6 linked regions of the Macaca mulatta genome follow. The protein of the gene in region 5 interacts with the protein of the main gene of each other region in a biochemical or structural test. Links are inferred from orthologs where the notes say so. Each region holds a gene or a part of one and is shown on either strand. Other genes may lie near its edges. The genes, in order: CDCA8, KLHL13, RACGAP1, KLHL9, AURKB and CENPA.

Region 1 (4,242 bases), on a different chromosome or scaffold from region 5:
AAATTTAGCAGTCAATAGAAGTACAGTAAATGTGTGTTGAATGAAAAGGTCTTTGTGAGATTTACATGTAGAATAAAAAGTTAGGTTAGATCCTCCTGCTAGAAACCCTCACAGTATCTTGTAAAACAGTTAAGATCTCAGGCTATGAAACCAGAATACCTGGGTTCAAACAGACTATTCCACTAACTAGCTTATGAGGCCTTGAGCAAAGTATCCAATTTCTCTGTGCCTTAATCTTGTCATTTAGAAAAATAGGGATATTATTAGTTATGAAGAAAAATTAGTTAATATATGTAAAACACTTGGTACAATGCCCATCCGGCATAGAAATCACAATATGCTCACTGACAACTACTCTATTCTATCTCCTTTGTAGTACCTATACTTTTAATTACATAATTGTATGTGGATTTTTCTAATAGCTCTTTTCTACTAACCTGTATGTTTCTGAAGGCAGAGACAATGTCTGTTTTATTCCCCAGTGCATCTTTAGCACCTAGCACTGTGACTCACACATGCTCAGTATTTGTAGAAATGAGCAAATGAATGGCTTAATATTAATAAATAAAAGGACAAGTCAAAAGGATCATTCAACGTCTAATATGTGAACAGAACATGCATTTCTATCCAGCAAGGAGACTACATGCTGGATAATTAATAATAAGGAAAACTTTTGCAACCCAGCAGAAAAGTACAGCCTCCTGCATTTCTCTGGACATTTAATAAGGGAGTGGGGAAGCAGGCTGGGATTTTTCTCTGGCCAGGAAAACTGATGTGCCTTTTTTTTTTTGAGATGGAGTTTCATTCTTGTTGCCCAGGCTGGAGTGCAATGGCGGGCTCTTGGCTCACCGCAACCTCCACCTCCCAGGTTCAAGCGATTCTCCTGCCTCAGCCTCCTGAATAGCTGGGATTAGAAGCATGCGCCACCACACCCGGCTAACTTTTTTTATTTTTAGTAGAGACAGGGTTTCTTTCTTTCTTTTTTTTTTTTTGTGAGATGGAGTCTCTCTCTGTCGCCCAGGATGGAGTGCAGTGGCCGGATCTCAGCTCACTGCAAGCTCCGCCTCCTGGGTTTACGCCATTCTCCTGCCTCAGCCTCCGGAGTAGCTGGGACTACAGGCACCCGCCACCACGCCCGGCTAGTTTTTTGTATTTTTTTTAGTAGAGACGGGGTTTCACCGTGTTAGCCAGGATGGTCTCGATCTCCTGACCTCCTGATCCGCCCGTCTCGGCCTCCCAAAGTGCTGGGATTACAGGCTTGAGCCACCACGCCCGGCCGAGACAGGGTTTCTCCATGTTGATCAGGCTGGTCTCGAACTCCTGACCTCAGGTGATCTGCCCGCCTCAGCCTCCCAAAGTGCTGGGATTACAGGCATGAACCACTGCGCCCAGCCTGATGTGCCCATTTTTAAGTTAGCAATTTCCATAAGCTGCATAAGGAGCTGCTTTGGGTTATTCTTTCATCTGAGCTCTGGTTAACTAACCATGTCATTTATTCATTCATTTTTAAATGGGTTGGGTAAAATATACATATTTTTTAAAAATACTATTTTCTGGCTGGGCACAGTGGCTGACTCCTGTAATCCCAGCACTTTGGGAGGCTGAGGCATGCAGATCACTTGAGGTCAGTAGTGCGAGACCAGCCTGGCCAACATGGTGAAGCCTCGTCTCTACTGAAAATACAAAAATCAGCAGGGCATAGTGGCAGGAGACCGTAATCCCAGCTACTCCGGAGGCTGAGGCAGGAGAATCACTTGAATACAGAAGGTGGAGGTTGCAGTGAGCCAAGATCGCACCACTGCACTGCACTCCAGCCTGGGTGACAGAGTGAGACTCTGTTCCAAAAAAATAAAATAAAATTCCTGATGTGTGAAAATTATGTGAAATTCACATTTCAGTGTATCCACAACTAAAATTTTATTGGAATACAGCCCATCCATGCCCATTCACTATAGCTGTTTTGGACCTGTAACAGCAGAGCTAAGTTGTCCGACAGAGACCCCTCCCACCGGCTCAAGTAGCCTAAAATATTTGCTACCTAGGCCTTTAGAGAAAAGGATGGAGACACATGACTTACGGAAGTGAGACAGAGAGTGAAAGGGTCTGCAATTTTCCATAAGTGGTCATGTCAGATTTCATTAAAAGGTGACATCTGAGCGAGTCCTTTCTGAAGGGTGTTACCTAACCCCACGGGGCTCCCGGCCTCCGCCCAGGGAAGCTCTCCAGCTCTTACCGAAGTAGTCAAGCCAGTTCATCTGGCGCAGCGCCTTGGGGAGCCGCAGGATCTCGATGTTGTAGAGGTTATCCACCTCCTTGAGGAGGTTCTGCCTGTCTGACTCAATTTGCTTGATTCGTATTTCCACTGCGGGAGGGCAGAGCCGACAGGACACGGGTCACGGGGCGGGTGAATGTGTGCAGCTCGTGTCCCCACCCGCCAGCATCCCGCGACCGCCCCAGGAGGCCGCGACGGCCTGGCCCCTTTACCTTCACGGTCGAAGTCTTTCAGAAAGGAGGCGAGCTTCCGCCTCCGTAAGGAGTTGATCTTGGCCACCCGACTACTGCCCTTCCTAGGAGCCATGGCGCTCGGCGGAGGCTGCGGGGAGCGGCGGAGATGGGGCAGGGAGGCAAGGAACCAGGTAGGGACCAGGAGGGCGGATGGGGACCACCCGAATAAGTCGCCAGGCACGTACCTCCGGTCTCGCGACAAGGACTGAGTAAAACCTCGCTATGCCAGTGAGAGAGAGCGGCTCTACCGTCAACCGCCACCTAATTCAAACTCCACAGCCACAGGCTGACGAATGAGAAACCGCCGTCCCACAGTATCCAATCACAAGCAAGTTCCTACCTGCCCGGGGTCTCCCGCCCAATGCGCTCCCTATAGCCGGAGTGCGTCAGCGCGGGCGCCGCCGTCGCGGGTGCTCCTGGGAGTTGTGGTCCAGGCTTGTTTCCCCGCCCTCCCCACCAACCCACCCGGCTCCGCCCTGGCCGGCTGCAAACTATACAAACTGCGACTCCCGGCAGGCCTTGCGGCGGGTCCTCATTACCCCAATCTCTGGAGGGCTAGGAGCGGGCTAGGTCAGGTCGGCTGTAGGATTCTGCTCCGGGGCCGGCGGCTGCTTCTTCCAGGCCTGGCTGCCACTGAGTAGCCGAGGGGCCGCCGTGACACTCTGACTGATTGACTGGTTGGCTGCCTACGTCGGCGCTCCTCAGGGCCCCAAGCTCCCCAGGCCGAACTTGGGGCAAGTGGAGGGTCGGCGGAGACAGAGCAGCCCCGACAGGGTTTGGAAGGGGTCGAGGCGGAATGACAGGGGAGCGGGGCCGGGGTGCAGGCTTTGGGGTGGGCGCGCCAGCCCGTGGCCAGTTTGGGCAGCGAGTGGGGAGAACCCTCTTGTTCCTCGCTTGCCCGCGGGGCGGCCACTCCCGTCCAGTTCGCGTCTTGGCGCCTCGACTGGGTGTGCAGCGCGGGGCCGCGACTTCAGGTGCGAGTAGTGGCGCTTGGCAGCTGCCCACGCGGTGACTGCAGCGTGAGCCGCGGCCACCACACTCCAGGGAGCCCAGGGCGGGAGGCAGCTCTGGGTGTTCTGGCCGTGGGCCTGGGAATGGGCGTGTAGACCTCGAACCCCGCTGAGCCGCAGTCCTGTCGGAAGTGCTAACTGTGCATCTTTGCATCTGCCCACAGCCACAGGGTTGGATTGCTCAAGGGTTGTGCTGAGACCCAGCAAGGCTAGAGGCTAGTTTCGAAGCTGTAGCTCAGGCTGAGTCTCAAGGCGGGCGACGACTGGACGGCCAGACCGGCGAGCTCTTGACAGGTTTGTGGCCTGATTGTTTGGATTTGGTGCTTTTCACCTGTGGATGCGGAATGAAGCCATGTCAGAGGGGTTGTTTGTGTTTAAGCGTGCATGTTATAGGCTATGGGAGTGATAATCTTGCCTCTCCCCCTCTGAGTTCAGGAACAATCAAAGAAATAAGCAAAGGTGCCAAGCAGGCTCCTGATGGGCACCAGCGAGCTTGGGGACAGAGCAGTCCAAGCATAGAAACCCTGGCAAGCCTGGCCCTTCCTAGAAAGTCCTTTCTCTCTCTCTTCCACCCTGGTTTGTTGCTCCATATACAAAAAATATTTGAATGTCGCTCTTCCGCCCAAGGTCAGCCCTGGGCAGTGGGTGGTGGGGGTGACACCCGAGTCTGCTGGGTGCCTAAGGATCTCCATCAGTTAGATGGCCAAGATGAGAGGGGACGACAACC
Region 2 (3,940 bases), on a different chromosome or scaffold from region 5:
TCTCTAGGGCTATTCATTTCTCTACAGTCTTTCCACATTTTCTGAAATAATTCCTGGAAATTTGTTGTATTATTTCATAGCAATAAAAATACATCGGTTTCAATCAGTGGATTTAAGAAAAAAATATTTTCAAGAGGTTTTAGTGGCTTACCAAACATCAATAAAAATCAAACAATTTGAAAATTGGTCAGTCTCATTTCACTACCGCAAGTCAAATTACATGAAGAGAATGTGAAATGTAAATAAAATGAGAAAGAAGATAATCCAATAAATAAGTGCAGTTACATTTAGTAATAACAGAAATATCTAGTCTGATAATCTCTAGGTGTACCAGATGGACTATCAAACACATATTGAGTCATATTGAAGATTCAGAGCAAAATGTTTATGGCTAATTCACATCCACCTTTATTCTTTTCCTGGCAAATACAGTCTTACTATGCAATCACATTACTAGCAATCTTAGCTTAGATTTTGTATCAATAACAATCATGAAAAGAAAAAAGTAAGAAAATAGTATAAACTCTTTTCCTTGAAAAAGTTGTAAGTTTTTATGTCTTTTGAGAATGGTTTGCTAAGAAAATTACAGATTTAGAAAGGTGGGCCTATTAGAATAAGTACCCTTTCCCTACTACATTCCATTTTTTAATAAACCTCAAGTAAACCCAGGAATTTACCAAATCAATTGGGAAACTACAAATCATCTGCAAGTTATCTAACTAAATGGATAAGCAATAGGCTTTACTTTTCTTGTGAAAACTACTTTCTTCAGAACATCAACTAAGCCTTATATAATCACACGACACTTTTTGAAGTGTGTTTATAAAAATGGCAAATTAAAAACCTTGGGCTTTTTAATAATTGAAGCTCTTATTTATCTGTTTTTTAAATACATCATTTGATGCTGCAGCAGAAACTACTCTCATCTCACTGCCATAAGAAGTGCCACCGGGACAGTGAAATTTAGCCATTATCTTCATTCACAACCTGGTTTCTTCTGAGATTGCTGCCAATTAGTGCACACTGTGTCAATGGCAACACTAGGTCACACATCAGGCAAACAACTCTTTTACCGTTAAGTATGAGGCTATTAATAAGAACTTGCAGTTAAGGGAGCTAATATTTTTAGATGTAAAATGATGTCATAAATGCTGAATTATTTCATTTTTCTCAGTTTTTAAATTTGAACACTAGATACAGCCTATTTCCAAAAACACAGCTGCATATGTCAGCATGTGCTTGTTCACTGGTATTTGCCTCCACTGTGTGCTTCTCCATTCAGTTTTCTTCACACACTAATTGCAGTATGGAAGTGAGCAAATGAACCTCAGTATGGGAGCTAACACCACAACTACATGGGGAGAAAGTGATATCCCTAAGAGTGAGTAGTCTTTTTTGTAACTACGTGGTTTTAAAATACGCTGCTTTTAGACGGTTTATACAAATATGAAATCTACTGTTAAGAAACTGTGGCTTCAAAAAAATAATAAATTTTTTAAAAAGCAGGTGCTCTCCAGAGACAGTTTTAAATTCCAGCGTTTCTTAGTCTCCATTCAATGTGCTTAGTTGCCAGCCTATGCTAACTTGAACGACTTTATCCCAAACCACTAAAGTCCTCTGACTACATTAAAACTATGAACATCCCAGTTTACAATTAGAGAAATGGAGCCAGGCATCACAAGCCCCACCAATCCTCTCTCTCAGGCCTGTTCAGCAGCCAGGGAATAATCAGATTTAGGACCATGTACGAAAATTGCGTACAAACATATATACATACATTTTAAGTGACTATTGTTCTTGGGCTAAGTTAATGAAACCTAGAAAGAAACTTTAAAGTTCCCTAGTTGATATTTACTAAGGCTATTTAGTGAAGGGATGATCTCATCACTTTCAGTAAACTGTAGCCTAGACTATAAGCCTCCACGAAAATCATTAGTCAACTGTGATTAAACAAGCAAACAAAAAAAAAGTCAAAATATTCAGAGCTGAAGACATTCAGAGCGAAGTTAAAAGCTTCGAGGAAGAAGAGGAGTGTGCTCCTGACTTGGGAGCCAGGAGAGGAGCCTCCTAAGTAAGAAGCTTCTGAAGGAAGAGATGGATTAGGAGGCACAAAGCAGAAACTGTTAGAGGGCAAGAGACAGTGGGGCCGGGGCGGGCAGAGGGACCCCAGACCGTCAGGGCAGCAACAGCGAGGCCCAGAGAAGAAAATCTTGGAGAGATGACAAAGAAGCACAGGAAAGCCGGCTTCTGGGGTCCTAGAAAAACCCAGGCGTCCGACGGAGCCAGAAGGACCGGGAGAACGGGATGCGAAGGTGTAAGGATGAGGGCGCGCACCAGCACGCGGGAGAAAAAGAGGGGGCGGCGGGCAAAACGAAGCTGGTTCCCTGCTCCTCTACTCCTCTGCCCCTGGTACAGATCGCAACTCCTCGCCGCGCACCGCGCAGCGCCAGGTCCGGAGGCAGGGAAGCGGCTGATGGAGCCCCTGTGACTTCGGGACCCTGCCTCACCTTGCTCGCCGCGTCCTGGCGTCGCGCCGCTTGTCCGCCGGGTGCTGCGCTCCGAGGGCCAAAGAGGGAGTCTCGCGGCGCAGCCGGGGCTCCCTCCTGCTGCGAGGCACCAGCACCCGCACCTTCGCACCCTCTGCTAGTCCCGGCCACTTCACCCTGTCCTGGCGCAAGCGGAGAGCACGGACCCTAACCCGAATGCCGCTCCAGTTATTTTCAAAACTCCCCGTTCCAGGCTTCCCGGGAATAGGAGCTGAGCTACTGCGGCCGCAGCGGCAGAGCCTCCGCCTGACCTCACCAGGGTGTGGGGGGGACTGCTGAGGGAGGGGGGGCGGGAACCCAGTTGGGGAGGGAGGGGGCAGTGGGGGGAGGGAGCGCGCGGGCGGGGGAAACATGGCGGCGGGGGTGGCCCCGGCGGCGCCTGCGCGGGAGGCAGGGTGGCGGGGAGCTGTGGCTAGGACAGTGTGTGGGGTCCCAACGGAACTCCCGGGCTGTAGCCAAAGCTTGACAGGGCTGGACCCTGAAGCTGAATGACCGCTAAGTGGCCCTCACGCCTCCGAACCCGGGAGGGTCGAGTGTGAGCCCACATGGCTTCTAGTGCCGGGAGGCAGAGAAAGTGAAAAGTGTCAAGTATCCAAGGACAACAGTGCAGCCGCCCTGGGTGAGCCACTCCAAGGAGGTCCACCCGTGCATTCTGCCAGCCGTGGCCTCGGCCTCCTCATAGTCACGGCAGGGCCCCGGCAAAGGGTGTGCTCTGGAAGCGGTGCCACCTCACCTCAGTGGGGCCCACGTCTCAAAATAAGCCTGACCCAGGCTCTCACACAAATACCACTCTTCTGGTGGGATAAGCGCTTCATCCCTCCCCCTCCCTGCTGCAGTACACAACATTAAGAAAGAGGAAGGATAAAAACTACAAATAACCGTTTAACATTTTACTGAGCGTCTGCTATGAACCAAGCACTGAAGCTTCAACTTACCTAATTCACAGCTACTCTGTAAGTTACACACTATTGTCTCCATTTTACAAGTGACAAAACTGAGGTGTATAGGTTAAGCAAGTTGCCAGAGGTTACGTAAATAGTGACAGAGCGGGACTCAGGATCCCAAGCGGTGTGATTCTGGCACCCAGGCTCTTAACTATGCGACCTGCTTCCCAACTCTGGTGGGACTGCTCTTCTAAGTCAGAATCTTGATTCTGTTCTATCAGCCTAGCCCCCAACAAAAACCCCCGTCAAGCCTGTTTTTCCCCTTGCTTGTCTTCTATTCATTCTTTGCCTTCTTGACGGTTACAGCCTGGGGCCACCTTCTTACACCTCTTCCTTTGCCCTTCCTTGCCTTTCTACTTATAATTCCAGACTCCTCCTTGGGAAAATAAAGGGAGTTTGCTCTTAGCAACCAGTTTAATCACTGTTGTGATTTTTTTCTTTGGCTGTTTT
Region 3 (3,500 bases), on a different chromosome or scaffold from region 5:
AAACCTCCTAATTAACACAAATAACAAATTCACCATCTCCTACGGTTGACTCTTACCTCAGTCAGACCTCTTTGCTCAATCTCATTTACACAATGCACAACAATGGAGGGGATCATTGGAGAAGTCTGGGACACAAAGTCTGCCAGCATTCCCTGGAAAAAAAGAGTTTTAAATTATTATTTACACCATGTAGACCAACAGATGAAGACGACATGTGAAGAACCACCTCCAATCTTATTCTCAGACTGGGACATCATGTCTACTTTTAAATTCCTATTCCCAAAGCATATATTAAAACAGAGACTATCAATTATTTTTCCTACCTCCATGCCAGGACTGATTTATTATCATATATACCACACTTTTTTTTTTCTCTTTCATATATACCACACTCTTATGTGAACAAGGAATAAGACCACCAGCTATAACTACCTCCTTCTCATCCACTCAAGGACAGCAGAAAAAAGCAATAATGAAGTTACAGGTATAGCCAGGCGCGGTGGCTCAAGCCTGTAATCCCAGCACTTTGGGAGGCCGAGACGGGCGGATCACGAGGTCAGGAGATCGAGACCATCCTGGCTAACACCGTGAAACCCCGTCTCTACTAAAAATACAAAAAACTAGCCGGGCGAGGTGGCGGGCGCCTGTAGTCCCAGCTACTCCGGAGGCTGAGGCAGGAGAATGGCCTAAACCCGGGAGGCGGAGCTTGCAGTGAGCTGAGATCTGGCCACTGCACTCCAGCCCGGGCTACAGAGCAAGACTCCGTCTCAAAAAAAAAAAAAAAAAAAAAAAAGAAGTTACAGGTATAGCCTTTAATATAAAATAATTTATTACTCTAAACGGATTTTTTTTTTCTAACAGAAGAACTCTGGAATAAGAGAAAAATAATTTTTTATGCTTTCATTATCCTCAGTAAAAAAAATTACTTAACACATCTTATCACAGTTGATCATGACACAAACCTACCTGTAGGGGAGAACTCCATGGTTCTATATTAAAGTACAGAACATGTGTAAAAAAAAATGTACAGGTGGCCAGATGCGGTAGCTCACACCTGTAATCCCAGCACTGTAGGAGGCCGAGGTGGGCAGATCACCTGAGGTCAGGAGTTTGAGACCAGCCTGACCAACATGGAGAAACCCTGTCTCTACTAAAAATACAAAATCAGCCAGGCGTGGTGGCACATGCCTGTAATCCCAGGGAGACTGAGGCAGGAGAATCGCTTGAACCCAGGAGGTGGAGGTTGCGGTGAGCTGAGATTGCGCCATTGCACTCCAGCCTGGGCAACAAGAGCAAAACATCCTCTCAAAAAAAAAAAAAAAAAAAAAAAAAAAAAAAAAAAAACCAAAAAAAGTACAGGCATGGATAAGAACTTGTAGGATTAGGGGAAAATAACATTTGATTTGCTGAAGAGTAGGTAGGAAGGTAGTCATTTTGATTCTTGCTAATGTTGCTTACATAATAAAATTTTTTTTTTTTCGAGATAGGGTCTTGCTCTATTCCCTAGGCTGGAGTGCAGTGGTGTAATCATGGCTCACTGCAGTTTCAACCTCCCCACCTTAAGCAATAGTCCAACCTATCTCCCTGAGGAGCTATAAACACAGGCATACACCACTAATCTGGCTAACTTATTTATTTATTCTTTGTAGAGATGGAATCTTGCTTTGTTGTCCAGGCTGGTCTCAAACTCTTAGGCTCAAGTGATTTTCCTGCCTCAGCCTCCCAAAGTGCTGAGATTACAGGCATGAGCTACCATGCTCAGCAATAATTTTTTTTTTTTTTTTTTTTTTTTGAGACGGAGTCTCGCTCTGTTGCCCGGGCTGGAGTGCAATGGCCGGATCTCAGCTCACTGCAAGCTCCGCCTCCCGGGTTCACGCCATTCTCCTGCCTCAGCCTCCCGAGTAGCTGGGACTACAGGCGCCCGCCACCTCGCCCGGCTAGTTTTTTGTATTTTTTAGTAGAGACGGGGTTTCACCATGTTAGCCAGGATGGTCTCGATCTCCTGACCTCGTGATCCGCCCGTCTCAGCCTCCCAAAGTGCTGGGATTACAGGCTTGAGCCACCGCGCCCGGCAATAAATAATTTCTTAATGGATTTAATCAGTTTGGATTAAACTGGTTAAATATTTGGAAATAAGCAACTTAATCTTGATACCCTATTATGAAGTATGTCTAACATAAAAGCAAGAATAAAAAGATAATTTTATCACAGATAAAATTATATGATAGCTGAGATTTGCTTCCAAGTAATTCATTGGACAGAGTTAGGAAGAGGCAACGACAGTATTGATAAATCAAGAACAGACATAAAGGCTGGGTGCCGTGGCTCACACCTAGAATCCCAACACTTTAAGAGGCCAAGGCAGGCAGATCACTTGAAGTCAGGAGTTCAAGACCAGCCTGGCCAACATGGCAAAACCCCATCTCTACTAAAAATACGAAAAAATTAGTTGAGCATGGTAGCACACGCCTGCAGTCCCAGCAACTTGGGAGGCTGAGGCATGAGAATCACTTGAGCCCAGGAGACAGAGGCTGCAGTGAGTCAAAGTTGCAATACCACACTCCAGCCTGGGCAACATGGAAACTCTGTCTCAAAAAAAAGAGACATTAAAAAAAGAATGGACATGGCCGGGCACGGTGGCTCATGCCTGTAGTCCCAGCACTTTGGGAGGCTGAGGTGGGCGGATCACTTGAAGTCAGGAGCTTGAGACCAGCCTGGCCAACATGGTGAAACCCCGTCTCTACTAAAAATACAACCAAAAAAAAAATTAGCCGGGCATGGTGGTGGTACATGTCTGTAATTCCAGCTACTTGGGAGGCTGAGGCAAGAGAATCACTTGAGCCCAAGGGGGCAGAGGTTGCAGTGAGCTGAGATCGTGCCAGTGCACTCCAGCCTAGGCAGCAGAGGAAAAAAAAAAAAAAAAAAGAGAATGGACACAAGTTAGTAGTCATGGAAGTTAAGTGATAAGAACCAGGGGTTAGTTACACTAATCTCTTTAGTTTGATATATGTCTGAAATTTTCCAAAATGGGATGAAGGGGAGGAAGGAAGGGAGAAGAGGAGGAAAGGAGAAGCAGGGAAGAGGAAAAAGGGGAGGGCAAAGAAGTTTGGTTTAGAAAGGTATTAGACAGACAAACCCAAATAGGACTCTTCAAGTAAATATCTTACAATTCTATTCATTGTTTGTGGAAAGAAATATATTTGAGATCATTAATTTTAGAACAAAAACTGATACTAAGCCTTTGAAAGGCGAATAAAGAGGCCGTAAAACAATGACGGCTCGTATAAGTCATACCTCTCCAATCTTGACAGGTGTTCCTATCAGGGTAGGAATGCAGGGAAGGGGACAGCGGTCCCGACATTCTGGATGAGAGACCACACGACAGTCTCGGCACTTCAGAGATAATTTGCCAAATTTTATCCGCTTTCCACATGGAACACAGGATTCAGGTTTAATAACCTGGGATAAAACAGAGCAGAAGAAACAGAGTGATATGAATT
Region 4 (3,971 bases), on a different chromosome or scaffold from region 5:
GGCAACCTTTCGTTAATTTTAGGTTACAGTGACCTCCCTCTGACATTTTGGAGTCAAAGATGAAAACTCGACTTTGAAGCATAATGGACATAATTACACATTTACCACAGTCATCTACAATTTTATATAACATCACAAAAAGACATCTAAACATTTTTCTACATCTTTTTTTCTCATTTGTTAAAACAGCTAGCTATGTTAAATACATCTTCAGAATGCATTTGTTAGTCACTTGATAAACATACTAAAAGCCAAACAAGACGAATAACATCAGTTACCTTTATATCTAATAACTGTACCAATCACTGTAAGAAGATACAACTGAAGAAGTATTAGATCACCCATGATGTACTGCAAAGGTGTTACACCTTAGACCTAAGAATGATCTGAAGGTGCTGAAAGAGGTGATTCTCTAGAAGGTGACCCAGGGTTTTCTTCAGGTGGAAAAACTGTGAGTGTACAAGCTCGAATGCCACCAAGTGACTCTGGAAGATCAAAAACTTTATGCCACTCATCTTTTTCTGGGTCATATTTCTGGACAATTTCTACCATACAACGATTATTCCAAGAATATCCACCAACAACGTAGATTTTATTTTCAAAGACCGCAACTCCAACATCACTTTGGCCTCTTAACATGGCGGCAATTGGGGTCCACTGGTCAAGGGTTGGTGAATAGTATTCACAGCTTAGAACATCATCATAATCACTTGTTCCTCTGAAGTGATTGCCGCCAATGACATAGAGCTTATCTCCAACCGTACACATGCAATGCAGACCTCTGACTGTAGTCATTGGAGCCTTTTGCATCCACTTATCTGTATCTGGGTCAAAACACATAAGCTCATTTTGGAAAGTGTCATGGGTAATTCCTCCTGAAATATACATTAAGCCTCCATATACTGTTCCAGCATGGCCATAGTGGGGTTCACTCATTTTTGCAACATAGCTCCACTCATTCATTCTTGGGTTGTAACATTCTACTGTGGCCAGTTCACCAGCTGCACTGCGCCCACCAACTGCATACAAATGTCCTTTGAGGGCACTCAAGTGAAAGAATGTACGCTTTTCATTTAATGATGCAACCTGCATCCATTTATTATACCGAGGATCAAATCTGAAAACTGTATCAACAGCAGTTTTTCCTTTTGTATCATAATTACTTTGACCACCAACTACATAAAGAAAGTTTCCAATGACAGCAATACCATGCTGGTAACGGGGAGCATCCATCGGGGCTAAAGATCTCCATTCTTGTGCCCTTTCATCATACATTCGTAATTCTTTACTGACAACCAGCTGCTGCCTCAAAACTCCTCCTAATGTAACCAAGTGAGTGGAGTCAGATCGAATGGCAGTTCTATCTGACTGCATCACTGGCTGCATATATGGCATCATTTGGTAATTGCTGGCTTCCAAAAGCAAATTCACGCAGGTATTGTCTGTTCTCATGAAATCTACTGTCTGCACGTAATTGATGAGATCCTGTGGTGTCATCAGTGGGAATCGAATATTCTTCATTAATTTTGCAGCATAATCCATCCGAGGGTCTTCCAACCTTAGCCAGCGACAGGCTGCCTTAAAGAGTTCGAGTTCGGTACAGTGCTTAAGACTATTACTGGAAAGCACAAAGGCAAGCCGTTCAAAAGGGAGTTTTAGAAACTCCCCAGTACTCAATAAAGCAGGAAAGTTCTTCAGGATGAAATTATTAACATATTTATCCACTTCTATGAGATTGTAGGTGTTAGCAATTCGTCCAACCTCAACACAGTTATCTAAAGAGACTCCTGATATAAGAAATACTTTACAGAAATCCAAAACGGGTAATATTTGTAAAAAACTAGCAGCTTCAAGTGTGTCCTGAAGATTGTCCATATTAAGAGAAAGTTTTGCAGTATAAATAAAATCAATGATTTTCTTCAGACCAACCTTGTTCACCCCATGAAGCTTAATGCACATCAGATCTTGTTCTTTCATTCCACCTGTGAACATAGCTTTGAAATAATCACTAGCAGACGCCATCATAGCTCTGTGAACAGGGAAGATTTCATCTCCATCACCTGGTACCAGAGTCACATCACAAAGCAATCCTTCTATTCTAAGCTGATCAAAGCCTTGCAGTACCACCGAACTGTGTGTATTGCTGGTAAAAAAGCGTGTGGTTCCTGCCTTACAAGGCTGCAAATGGGCAGAGACGCCCATTTCGCCGTTACCAAGGGACACTTTCATGTGAAAGCTTTCCTCTTGCACAGAGATGCAAGCCGGAGAAAGAAGTTATAACCGGAATGTTTTACAGGCAACGAGGTGTCCACAAAGAACAGAAAGCTCGTTTCCTTATCAAGGGAAGGCAGCCACTGCGGCACCCCTCAGGCCACGCCAGTCAGTCATCCACTGAAAATCGCCCTGTAGCAGGACCACAAAGGGCTGTGGACCTCAAATCTGATTATTAGACAGATGATTCATCACCTGAAGGCGGTTAAATGACCCGGTTCACCTCGTCCGGCCTGCGCTGCCGCTCCTTCTGCAGTTCCGCTTCGGGCAACGAAAAGGCGCCGCCACGTACTGTGGCTCCACGGCCCGCTCGGCGGCGGGTCCGGGAACCTCAGCGAACGGCCCGCTGCGCCCTCCGCTGTACCTAGAGTGTCGCAGCGGCCACCGACCTGTCTTTGAGCAAGGACCTGGAACACAGGCCTGGGACTGGGCTTGGGCCTAGAATACCGGCCTAGCCCCGACGCCGAGCCGCTCCTTCCGGAAAAGCTTACTCCCAGGATCCCGCGGGGTGGGAGCGGCCGTAGCGGCTACTGCGGCTGCGCGGCCTCCAGAGCTCGTCAGTGGGCGGGCGTGTGGGGGTGGGGAAGGGGGAGGAAGTGTGCGGGAGGCGGGGAGGGCGGGGGTTGAGGAAGACGAGCTGTCTGGAGTGGGCGCGAGCCCGGCTCCTTAGATCTGCCTTGTATGTGGGACAAAATAGGACAGAATGTGTGCACGTATATTATGCTGCATGTTTGATGTAAGTTTTTCACATATCTGAGCTCTTACGTTCCCCAAATGCATACATTTTTTAAAACTTTGCAATTCCTAGTTTCTGTTTTTTTGAATAACAGTGAAACGCGGCTTTTGTATAAATTGAGAGGAAACCTGGATGCTTAATTTTTTTTTTCCTCTACAAAACAATAATTGTTATCCCACATTATGTAATAGATACCTTAGTTACAATTTTGGTTCGTATTTTCAAATTTGTTATAATTTCAAAGGCAAAATATTTGTCTCTACTAGATTGTTACTTTATTATATAAATGGTATAGTCTAAATTTTTGGCTTGAAATGCCTTTGTTTTCCATAATTTTAAAAATGGCTACATAATTTTTCAATAACATACTATAGTTTCCTTTGCCCATTGTTTGTTCCTGAATATGTACCTTCTTATCCTCCATTGTTTTATAGAATCTGTAGTAAATTTACAGAATCTGGTAGCAAAATTTTAGCCCTGTTATGGATAATATTTAGTAAAATGCTGATCCAAGACAGTATTTCCAAAATATTATCATGAGCAATGTTTGTGCCTTTCCCTTCTGCTGACTTTTCCCTTTTTAAGTATTTTATTAATTTACATTTCTTTAATTAGTGGTAAATTTAAATTTTGACATACAAATCAATGTATACTTTGACACAGTTTCTTCCATTTTCCAAATTTTGAAGTTTATGTCTTTTAAGTCCTTCTAGTTCTTTAAGTGTGTGCAAAGTAAGAATAGTCATGTTTTTATTACACTCTCCTCATTTTTATGTAAAAGATAGCATACCATGTACACTGTTCTGCATTTTTCTTTTTTCACTTCAAGATCTTCCTGAATTACTATAGAGAGCTTATTTATATATATATATATATATATATATTTTTTTTTTTTTTTTTTTTTTTTTTTTTTTTTGAGACGGAGTCTCGCTGTGTCGCCCAGGCTGGAGAGCTTATTTATATT
Region 5 (4,169 bases):
TAAAAAGGCTGGGCACGGTGGCTCACACCTGTAATCCCAGCACTTTGGGAGGCCCAGGCGGGCGGATCACCAGAGGTTGGGAGTTCGAGACCAGCCTGACCAATATGGAGACACCCCCTCTCTACTAAAAATACAAAATTAGCCGGGCGTGGTGGTGCATGCCTGTAATCCCAGCTACTCGGGACGCTGAGGCAGGAGAATCCTTTTGAACCCATGGCTGGAGGTTGCGGTGAGCTGAAATAGTGCCATTGCATTCCAGCCTAGGCAACAAAAGAGAAACTCCATCTCAAGGGAAAAAAGATACAAACAAACAATAATAATTGAAAAAAATTCTTAAAAAATTTCCATACAACAGTAATTTTTTTAATTTTTAAATTTATTTTTACTTTTATAGACTTTAGGGGTACATGTGCAGTTTTGCCTCAGGGATATATCACATAGTGCTGAAAGTCTGTACCCAACTGAAATTGTACCCAACTTCTGAATAACGTTCACATTTGTCTCATTCCCCTCCTATCCTTCTACTGAGGAGGTTTTTTTTGTCCTGTCCCTAAAAATGTCACCGTAAATCTATTTGATTAGGGAAAACAATGTTTGGTTTGACCCCGACGTGATTTGAACACGCAACCTTCTGATCTGGAGTCAGACGCGCTACCGTTGCGCCACGAGGCCTGCCCGAGAGGGTGACTTGAGGGGTCTCTTGAACAGCAATAAGGGGAGGACTTTTGTCATGAAGCCGTATCTTTAAGATTTGTCAGCGCATTTCTGCGAGGCACCAGCTGACGAGATGTGGGCGCACGTACGTAGGAATCTGAATAAATAATAAAGAGGCAAATTGTGTTTAGGCGCATTTGACTTAGGGCCCAGTTCCTTAACTTGAATCACATTGAGCTCATTGAGCCCACTCTACAGAGAAGCGATTTTTATGCGTCTAGGACTCTTTTTTTTTTTTTTTTCTGGAGATGATAAATCATCATGATGCCGCTGCAGTTCTCGCCCCCTGGAGAGATCTTAGATGTAATCCCAGCTCTGCCGGTGACTCAACTTCTTTGGACCTTGGTTTCCTCGTCTGTAGACTGGGCATAACCCTACAGGTTCATGTGGGGTGGCGCGCACTAGCGGTAAAGGTCACGCACAATTGCGCCGGGCAGACGACAGCAGCCATTACTTTTACCTGGATCTCGCTGATGCTGTTTCCCTGGCTCCGCACGGGTCCAACGCGACTCACCGCAATCAACATGAGGTATGAAAGAAAACAGCAGTACCTAAGCGTTGGTGGTATAGTGGTGAGCATAGCTGCCTTCCAAGCAGTTGACCCGGGTTCGATTCCCGGCCAACGCAAGTGCATTTTGAATTTTTTTTTTTCCCTCTTTTCTTTCTCGTGTTTTCTGGGCCCCACCATCGTTGAGGATTTTCGTGAGGTTTTCCTGAGGAACCGTCCTCTCCGAAAGAACCCGCTTTCCGCTACACCTGCGACCACTGCCGGACCACCGCGCTCCTGGCGGATGCGCCCTGCAAGCCCCTCCAGGTGAGAGCAGCCTGTCGGAATTTCGGCCCGGGGTTGCCTACTGTTCCCGGATCGCAGTGCGAATCCACAAAACGCAGGGAGGTGAAAGGAAACAAAAGCCCGGGCTCTGCACCCTGGACAGCCGGGGGCCAAATGGCTGCTTGCCCAGGTTCAAGCAGAGACTGGAAATGCGCACTGCCGTCAAGGAGGGAGCAAGCTAGATCAAGTTTGAGCACTAATGAACATATTGAGCGGAGGAGATAGTGGCCACTTTAGGTACACGTTTGAACTCCAAGTTGCTTGAACTAAAATGGAAACTTAGAATGCGAGCTGGAGAGGTAGGCCAAACTTTCCTCCCCTCCTCCTTTCCCTCTTTTTTCTAGCTCCATCCCAGGGGCCAGGACGGATTTAATGAAAGCAAAATCATTTGGATTCTCCCCCTCGGGGAATGGAACCCCGGTCTTCCGCGTGACAGGCGGGGATACTCACCACTATACTAACGAGGAGTGACCCGTCAATGGTCGTCTCCAAATCCTTGATCTGGGACTTTACACTCGGCTTGCTGACAGCAGAGTTCCTAAGGGTTCTGTTCTTCCGACCACCGAGAAAAGCCGACCAGAAACTGTAGGTGTATTTCAGGCACCCATCGTCAGACGGAGTGACCGAAAGAGACAGAGTACCTCCAGGGCTGCAGAGAACCAAGTTCTGACAGTTCCTGGGCTCTCCCGAACACTGTCATCCACAACTATAGATTGATGGGTGTCAATCAAACCGAAACCAGGCTGTAGTGGCGGAGTTGAGACACCACGCAGGAAGTCAAGAAGCAGAAAGGGAGCGTCCTGCCCAAGTCTGGGCGTGCCTCGTCTCTTCCTGACATGCCAGGCGGGTCTGGGGACTGAGATTCTTTCTGTTACCCCGGTGCCACAAAAGAGCTTACTGTACATTGATGATTTCCAGTGAAGCCTCCTGCAGCGCTGGTCAGGTAACACATTCCTTGAAGACACTCTTATTTCAGCAAAACGTAAAGGAGGGCTCGTCCGGGATTTGAACCCGGGACCTCTCGCACCCGAAGCGAGAATCATACCCCTAGACCAACGAGCCGACGTACGAATGCCGTTGCGAACCGCCCTAGAGGTCGTGCCAGGCTAGCTGTAGTGCCGGGTCCACTATGCATGGCAGAACGGTCCTGGCGCCGCTCAGGAACCAGCCTCCCCCAAGCCTAGTATTTTGGAGCACGGGTCTGGGAGTCCCTTGGCTCTGGGCCGCCAGCTCCAACTCCTCCCAGGAAATAGCGTCGAGGAAGTGGAAGGGAGTGGCCTCAGCCTAGCCCCCGCGCCGCCCTGGAGGACTGCCTTGAACACCCGGGTTCCTGCTTCCTTTGGTCACCGACTCGGTGCCATTCCGTAACCTGGGATCTTGACAATTCCCGCCTCCGCCTGCGGTCCTTGGACCTAGTCCTTCGTTGCAGAGCTTTGAAGAGAAGCGGTGGAGTTGCTTGCTTTCGGGACGGGTCGGAGACAGTTAATGAGCCTTGAAATCACTAGGGGAACACCAGTTCCCCGTGTCTGTCTATCCTCCTGGGCTAACGGGCAGGGCAAACCCCGGGCCAGACCCGTCGATAGACTACGGGTTCCCCAGACCGCGTGGCAGTGCCCAGGCGAGGGAAAGAGGGAACGATTTCTGGGGCCCAGGAGACCCACGGTGGAGGGCGTTATTGATCTGGGTGACTGGAGTGGGACAGGCTTTCCACCCTGCAGTGGGGCGGGGCGCAAGGCCAGGCGACTAGTCTCGTGGCTTCTGGACTGTAAGATCAGGTTACCCCTACCCTCCGGTCTAACCTCTGCTCTCCAGTCCCCTCCTAGAATGGCCTAGAAGGAGACCTTCCTGCCTGCCTCCTAAGACCCCCCCGAAGGCTCTGAGGCAAGTGGCCTCACGAGTGTGGTCTAAGACCTGTAGACCCGGTTTGGGGACTTAGCAGTACTCCGGAGCTGCCCAGAGTCCCAGAAGATCTGGTGGAGTCAGTAGCAGACCACGTGTTCTGCCTTTCCTCAGCTCAGTGCCTGTTCTGGGGAGTCCTCCCCGCGGGGTTCTGGCCTGCATCGGTCCTGGACCAGCCTGGTAGCATCTCTGGAACCATTTTGTTCTACACCCCAGTTATGTGATTTGTGGGGCCAGGCCGTTCCTAACGCCCAACCCATAGATACGTTGACGGGGCCTTCAGTGAAGGATTCAGCTCCTATTTGTCCTTTCCCAGGTGTCCCTGGGCAGACAGTGGGGAAGGGCAGAAGTTAGCCCAGTCTTTCCCATTAGTGTCCTAAGTCTTTGAGACGGGTAAAGAGGTTCTCAGGGCTGATCTGGCATCTCCTCCCCCATCCCTACCCTTTTCCAATTCCTGTCTCCCTCCCCTTGGGCTCCAGCTTTCTCTGCAAAATAATCCAGTCACCTCTTTCTTCCCTGGTCTGAAGAACTTAATCTCTGCAGAAGGGGAGGCCTAAATCCTTTATGACCCTTATGAAAGCTATGACCCTCTTCCCCGGGGGCGGTGGCTCACACCTGTAATCCCAGCACTTTGGGAGGCTGAGGCGGGTGGATCACAAAGTCAGGAGTTCAAGACCAGCCTGGCCAAAATGGTGAAACACCGTCTCTACTAAATATACAAAAA
Region 6 (3,970 bases), on a different chromosome or scaffold from region 5:
CCACCACACTCGGCAAGATGGGGTTTCGCCATGTTGGCCAGGTTGGATTCAAACTCAAGGGATCTGAACAGCTCGGCCTCCCAAAGTGCTGGGATTACAGGTGTGAACCACCGCACCCCGGCCCAGCATTTGTCCCTTGGTGGACTGCCTTATTTCACTTAGCATAACGTCCTCAAGGTTCATCTATGTTGCAGCAGGTGTCAGAATTCCCATTGTGGTATACGCCCCATTTTGTTTATCCATACATCTGTTGATGGGCATTCAGGCTGTTTCTGCCTTCGGGCTGTTGTGAAGAATGCCGCTATCAACACGGGTGTGAGAATATCTGTTCAAGTCCCTGGCTATATTTAAATTCTTTTGGATATTTAGCCAGAAGTGGAATTACTGGATCATCTGGTAATTCTATTTTTGATTTTTTGAGGAACCACCAATACTATTTTTCACAGCAGCCGCAGCATTTTACACTCCCACCAGCAATGCACAAGGGTTCCATGAAATCACTAATTTTATAACTAACTTTTTTCCTGATTACATGTTCACTGTACTACATTTAGAAAATGCAAGAAATAAAATTTAGAAAATTAAAATTCTCCTTACTCTACATACTGGGACAGGACTTGAATTTTTATTATCCCCAACAAAGGGAAGTGAGCGTTTTTCTGGGACGATTGCGTTGCTATAGTGCCGAGGCCTGCCCTGCCGGAACCCAAGCTCCGCTGATCCCGCCGTCCCCGCGACCCCAAGGATCAGCAGTTGAAGTTCACGCAGTTGAACTGGCTTCTGAGTGTATTTGTGGATAATTCCTGGAAGGGTCGCAGACACGACATGGGGTTGTCACATTCTCTGTGGGTCTGTTTCCTCGTCTTTAAAAGTCGTCTCTGCGTTGCTAGGGCAAAGCATAAAATGTTTAAGGAAAGTGACTTGTCTAGAAAAGCACGTGCTACAAACACACCATCTACGTTCCGAACTGAGCTTCGGTGTTTTGACTGGAGGGCACCTGAGGACGTCAGTACGGTCCCGCAAACACCAGCACCCAGATTGGCAAGCAGGGGCAGGAGAATTTCCCGCCCCCTCTTACTTCTTTAGGTGTCTATTGGTTGATTTTACCATCAGTCGCCCCTATCCTCCTACCATCGCCGCTATTTGTTCATACTCTCATTGGTCCTACCTGCAGTCGCTCTACGTAAGGGGCGTTCCAGAGTCAGCCACTGGAAGTCGCTGGATTCGGGTTTTAAAAAACGCCGGCGGTGAAGTGGGCGGAGCGAGCGATTTGAACGCGAGCGGCGCGGACTGCGGCCAAGCACCGGCTCCTGTGAGGCTCGCGGCCCAGCGTTCTCTGGGCTCCCCAGAAGCCAGCCTTTCGCCCCCGGACCCGGCCGCCCGAGCAGGAGCCGTGGGGCCGGGCGCCGGCACCCTCCGCGGCGTGACATGGGCCCGCGCCGCCGGAGCCGCAAGCCCGAGGCCCCGAGAAGGCGCAGCCCGAGCCCGACCCCCGGCCCCTCCCGGCGGGGCCCCTCCTTAGGTAACTGGCCGCGGCCCATCTCGTAGAGGAGAAAACCGAGGCTCGCAGGCGGAGCCCGGATCTCCCGAATCCCGATCCCGTGGCCTTCCCTGCTGGGGGACAACGCGGTTCCGCCGTCTGGCATCCGCTCCGGGCACGGGCGGTGGCAGCCCTGCGAGGGACTGGAGCAAGCGGTTCCGAAAGCGTGAAGGGACCGGCGCAGCCACTTGGCCCCTAACGCCGTCTTCTTGTTAGGACTAGCGGTTACCCAGCGCCCACCGCCAACCAGGCATTGCGTCCCACTGTTCGTGCGTTATCTCAGCTTCATATCGTGCCCATTTTACAGCTAATGAGAAAGCCAAGGCACAAGCCAGGGAGCTTGAGCAGAGTCACACAACTTGTTCTGGCGGACACGGGATTTCCAATCCTCTGTGTTTGTGCATTTTTAGATTGCACAAGTATTGACTGCTTTCGGTGACGATTTCAAACAGGAGTCCTCTTAGGAGGTGTCTTTCAGGTTTTTTTTCCCCTTCCGGGACAGGCTCTTAGGCCTCGAACCGAGGCCTTCTGCGCTGCTCACGCTGTTGCGTTCCAGAGCTTGTGTCCGGGGAAAGAGGGGCCAAAGTCTGTGTCTTCATTGTCTGTGTGGTAGGCTGGTGGATGGGAGACCCAAGGGCAGGAGGAGGCAGATGCCTGTGTGGTACACGGTGGCAACAGCTGCTTTACTTATCTCTTAACTCTTGCTGCATAGCTAGGAAGAAGATGGGAAGTGTATTGTAGAGTTTGTCTGTTTCATTGTTTTTTATAGAGACTCGGTCTCCCTATGTTACCCAGGCTCGTCTCAAACTCCTGGTGATCCTCAAGTGATCCTCCTGCCTGGGCCTCCCAAAGTGCTGGGATTACAGGCATGAGCCACTGTGCCTATAGGCTTTTTGTTTTTTTGTGTTTTTTTGAGACCTATCGCCCAGGCTGGAGTGCAGTGATGCCATCAGGGCTCACTGCAGCCTCAACTTCCCAGGCTCAGGTGATTCTCCCACCTCAGCCTCCCGAGTAGCTGAAACTACAGGCATATGCCACCATGCCGGCTAATTTTTTGTATTTTTAGTAGAGATGGGGTTTTGCCATGTTGCCTAGGCTGGAGTAGGTTGTTTCTAGATGTTGCTGTTGCGGATGGGATTTTTTTTCTTTCCCAAAACACAAGCATTTAACCTTTGCATCCAGCCAACTTGCTGACTTCTCGTTCATCCTAGTCTCTTTTAGTTGCTTCAATTGAAATTTTTAAGTAGACTATTATGTCATCTGCACATAACTTTAGAATCTTTCATTTTCGTCTCTAAACATTTTATTTCTTATTGTATGGTATTAGTAAGGCCCTGAGACTCACTAAGAGTGGTGTTTTGGCCATCTTTGTCTTATTTGTAATTTTAACGGGAATATGAAGTATGATGTTTGCTGTTGCTTTCCAAGGTAGAAGCATCCTTCTACTCCTGATCAAATGGAAGGTTTATCTCAAATGGGCAGTCAACACTTCTTGGCAGTCCTACCACCTTTGTCTGGTATTCTTTCTTCAGTTTTAGAGACGGAGTCTCACTCTGTCGTCCAGGCTGTAGTGCAGTGGTGCTATCTTGGCTCATTGCGGCCTTGACCTCCTGGGCTCATGCAATCCTCTTGCTTCAGCCTCCCGAATAGCTAGGATGACATGTGCACCACCATGCTTGACTATTTTTAAAGCTTTTTTGTAGAGACAAATTGTTTTGTCTCTACAAAGAAAAGCCATCGTGCCTGCCCTTTGTCTGGAATTCTTGCTTTTCCATTCTCCCCATGACTATTTCATACCTTTTTCTCCTTCCTCGACTTCCTACAGCTCCATTCCCCCTACTCTTAGCCAATGATGGCCTTGACTAGGTGTCCCCCTTCCTATCAAAGCTCTTCCTCCTTCTACATGGGGTCTTGGTCATATCCTTCTTTCACCTACAAAGGAGCTTTCTACCTGTGCTTAGATAAATCCAGACACTTAACACTGGCATTGGCACATGTGCTCTAGTATTTATGATCTTTTTTTTTTTTTTTTTTTTTGAGGCAGAGTTTCCCTCTTGTTGCCCAGTCTAGAGAGCAACGGTGATCTCGGCTTACCGCAACCTCCACATCTTGGGTTCAAGTGATTCTCCTGCCTCAGCCTTCCGAGTAGCTGGAATTACAGGCATGCGCCACCACATCTGGCTAATTTTGTATTTTTAGTAGAGATGGGGTTTCACCATGTTGGTCAGGCTGGTCTCCAACTGCCAACCTCAAGTGATCCGCCTGCCTTGGCCTCCCAGAGTGCTGGGATTACAGGTGTGAGCCACCGCTCCCAACCATATTTATGATCTTAAGAGAAAGGGCAGGGGTGTTTCCTTGACCCCACATTCTCACTTCCCTATACCTCCCATTTCTCTCTATTTCCCTTCATAGCTCTCCTTTTAAAACAGC

The links.
Region 1: the proteins of AURKB (region 5) and CDCA8 form a complex in vitro, tested with the Homo sapiens proteins (3 studies listed by BioGRID, with this or other methods). The link is inferred for Macaca mulatta from reciprocal best matches to the Homo sapiens genes AURKB and CDCA8.
Region 2: of the proteins of AURKB (region 5) and KLHL13, one has a biochemical effect on the other in vitro, tested with the Homo sapiens proteins (2 studies listed by BioGRID and IntAct, with this or other methods). The link is inferred for Macaca mulatta from reciprocal best matches to the Homo sapiens genes AURKB and KLHL13.
Region 3: of the proteins of AURKB (region 5) and RACGAP1, one has a biochemical effect on the other in vitro, tested with the Homo sapiens proteins (2 studies listed by BioGRID and IntAct). The link is inferred for Macaca mulatta from reciprocal best matches to the Homo sapiens genes AURKB and RACGAP1.
Region 4: the proteins of AURKB (region 5) and KLHL9 form a complex in vitro, tested with the Homo sapiens proteins (2 studies listed by BioGRID and IntAct, with this or other methods). The link is inferred for Macaca mulatta from reciprocal best matches to the Homo sapiens genes AURKB and KLHL9.
Region 6: of the proteins of AURKB (region 5) and CENPA, one has a biochemical effect on the other in vitro, tested with the Homo sapiens proteins (3 studies listed by BioGRID). The link is inferred for Macaca mulatta from reciprocal best matches to the Homo sapiens genes AURKB and CENPA.

Annotation. Positions count from the first base shown.
Region 1 is NC_133406.1:203,099,398-203,103,639, forward strand, and holds the start of CDCA8 (borealin), read right to left. Parts: upstream 2,801-4,242; 5' UTR 2,691-2,800; exon of another isoform or gene 2,594-2,690; 5' UTR 2,579-2,593; coding exon 2,485-2,578; intron 2,363-2,484; coding exon 2,234-2,362; intron 1-2,233.
Region 2 is NC_133426.1:124,576,252-124,580,191, forward strand, and holds the start of KLHL13 (kelch-like protein 13), read right to left. Parts: upstream 2,801-3,940; 5' UTR 2,698-2,800; coding exon of another isoform or gene 2,305-2,697; exon of another isoform or gene 1-2,304. Other genes in the region: uncharacterized protein LOC144338795, read left to right, coding at 2,305-2,697. UniProt on the Homo sapiens protein: Substrate-specific adapter of a BCR (BTB-CUL3-RBX1) E3 ubiquitin-protein ligase complex required for mitotic progression and cytokinesis.
Region 3 is NC_133416.1:57,169,041-57,172,540, forward strand, and holds part of RACGAP1 (rac GTPase-activating protein 1), read right to left. Parts: intron 3,460-3,500; coding exon 3,295-3,459; intron 153-3,294; coding exon 57-152; intron 1-56.
Region 4 is NC_133420.1:77,885,332-77,889,302, reverse strand, and holds the start of KLHL9 (kelch-like protein 9), read right to left. Parts: upstream 2,801-3,971; 5' UTR 2,230-2,800; coding exon 376-2,229; 3' UTR 1-375.
Region 5 is NC_133421.1:9,727,390-9,731,558, forward strand, and holds the start of AURKB (aurora kinase B), read right to left. Parts: upstream 2,801-4,169; 5' UTR 1,997-2,800; intron 1,342-1,996; exon of another isoform or gene 1,270-1,341; intron 812-1,269; exon of another isoform or gene 601-811; intron 1-600. UniProt on the Homo sapiens protein: Serine/threonine-protein kinase component of the chromosomal passenger complex (CPC), a complex that acts as a key regulator of mitosis.
Region 6 is NC_133418.1:98,214,939-98,218,908, reverse strand, and holds the start of CENPA (histone H3-like centromeric protein A), read left to right. Parts: upstream 1-1,170; 5' UTR 1,171-1,428; coding exon 1,429-1,522; intron 1,523-3,970. UniProt on the Homo sapiens protein: Histone H3-like nucleosomal protein that is specifically found in centromeric nucleosomes. Replaces conventional H3 in the nucleosome core of centromeric chromatin that serves as an assembly site for the inner kinetochore.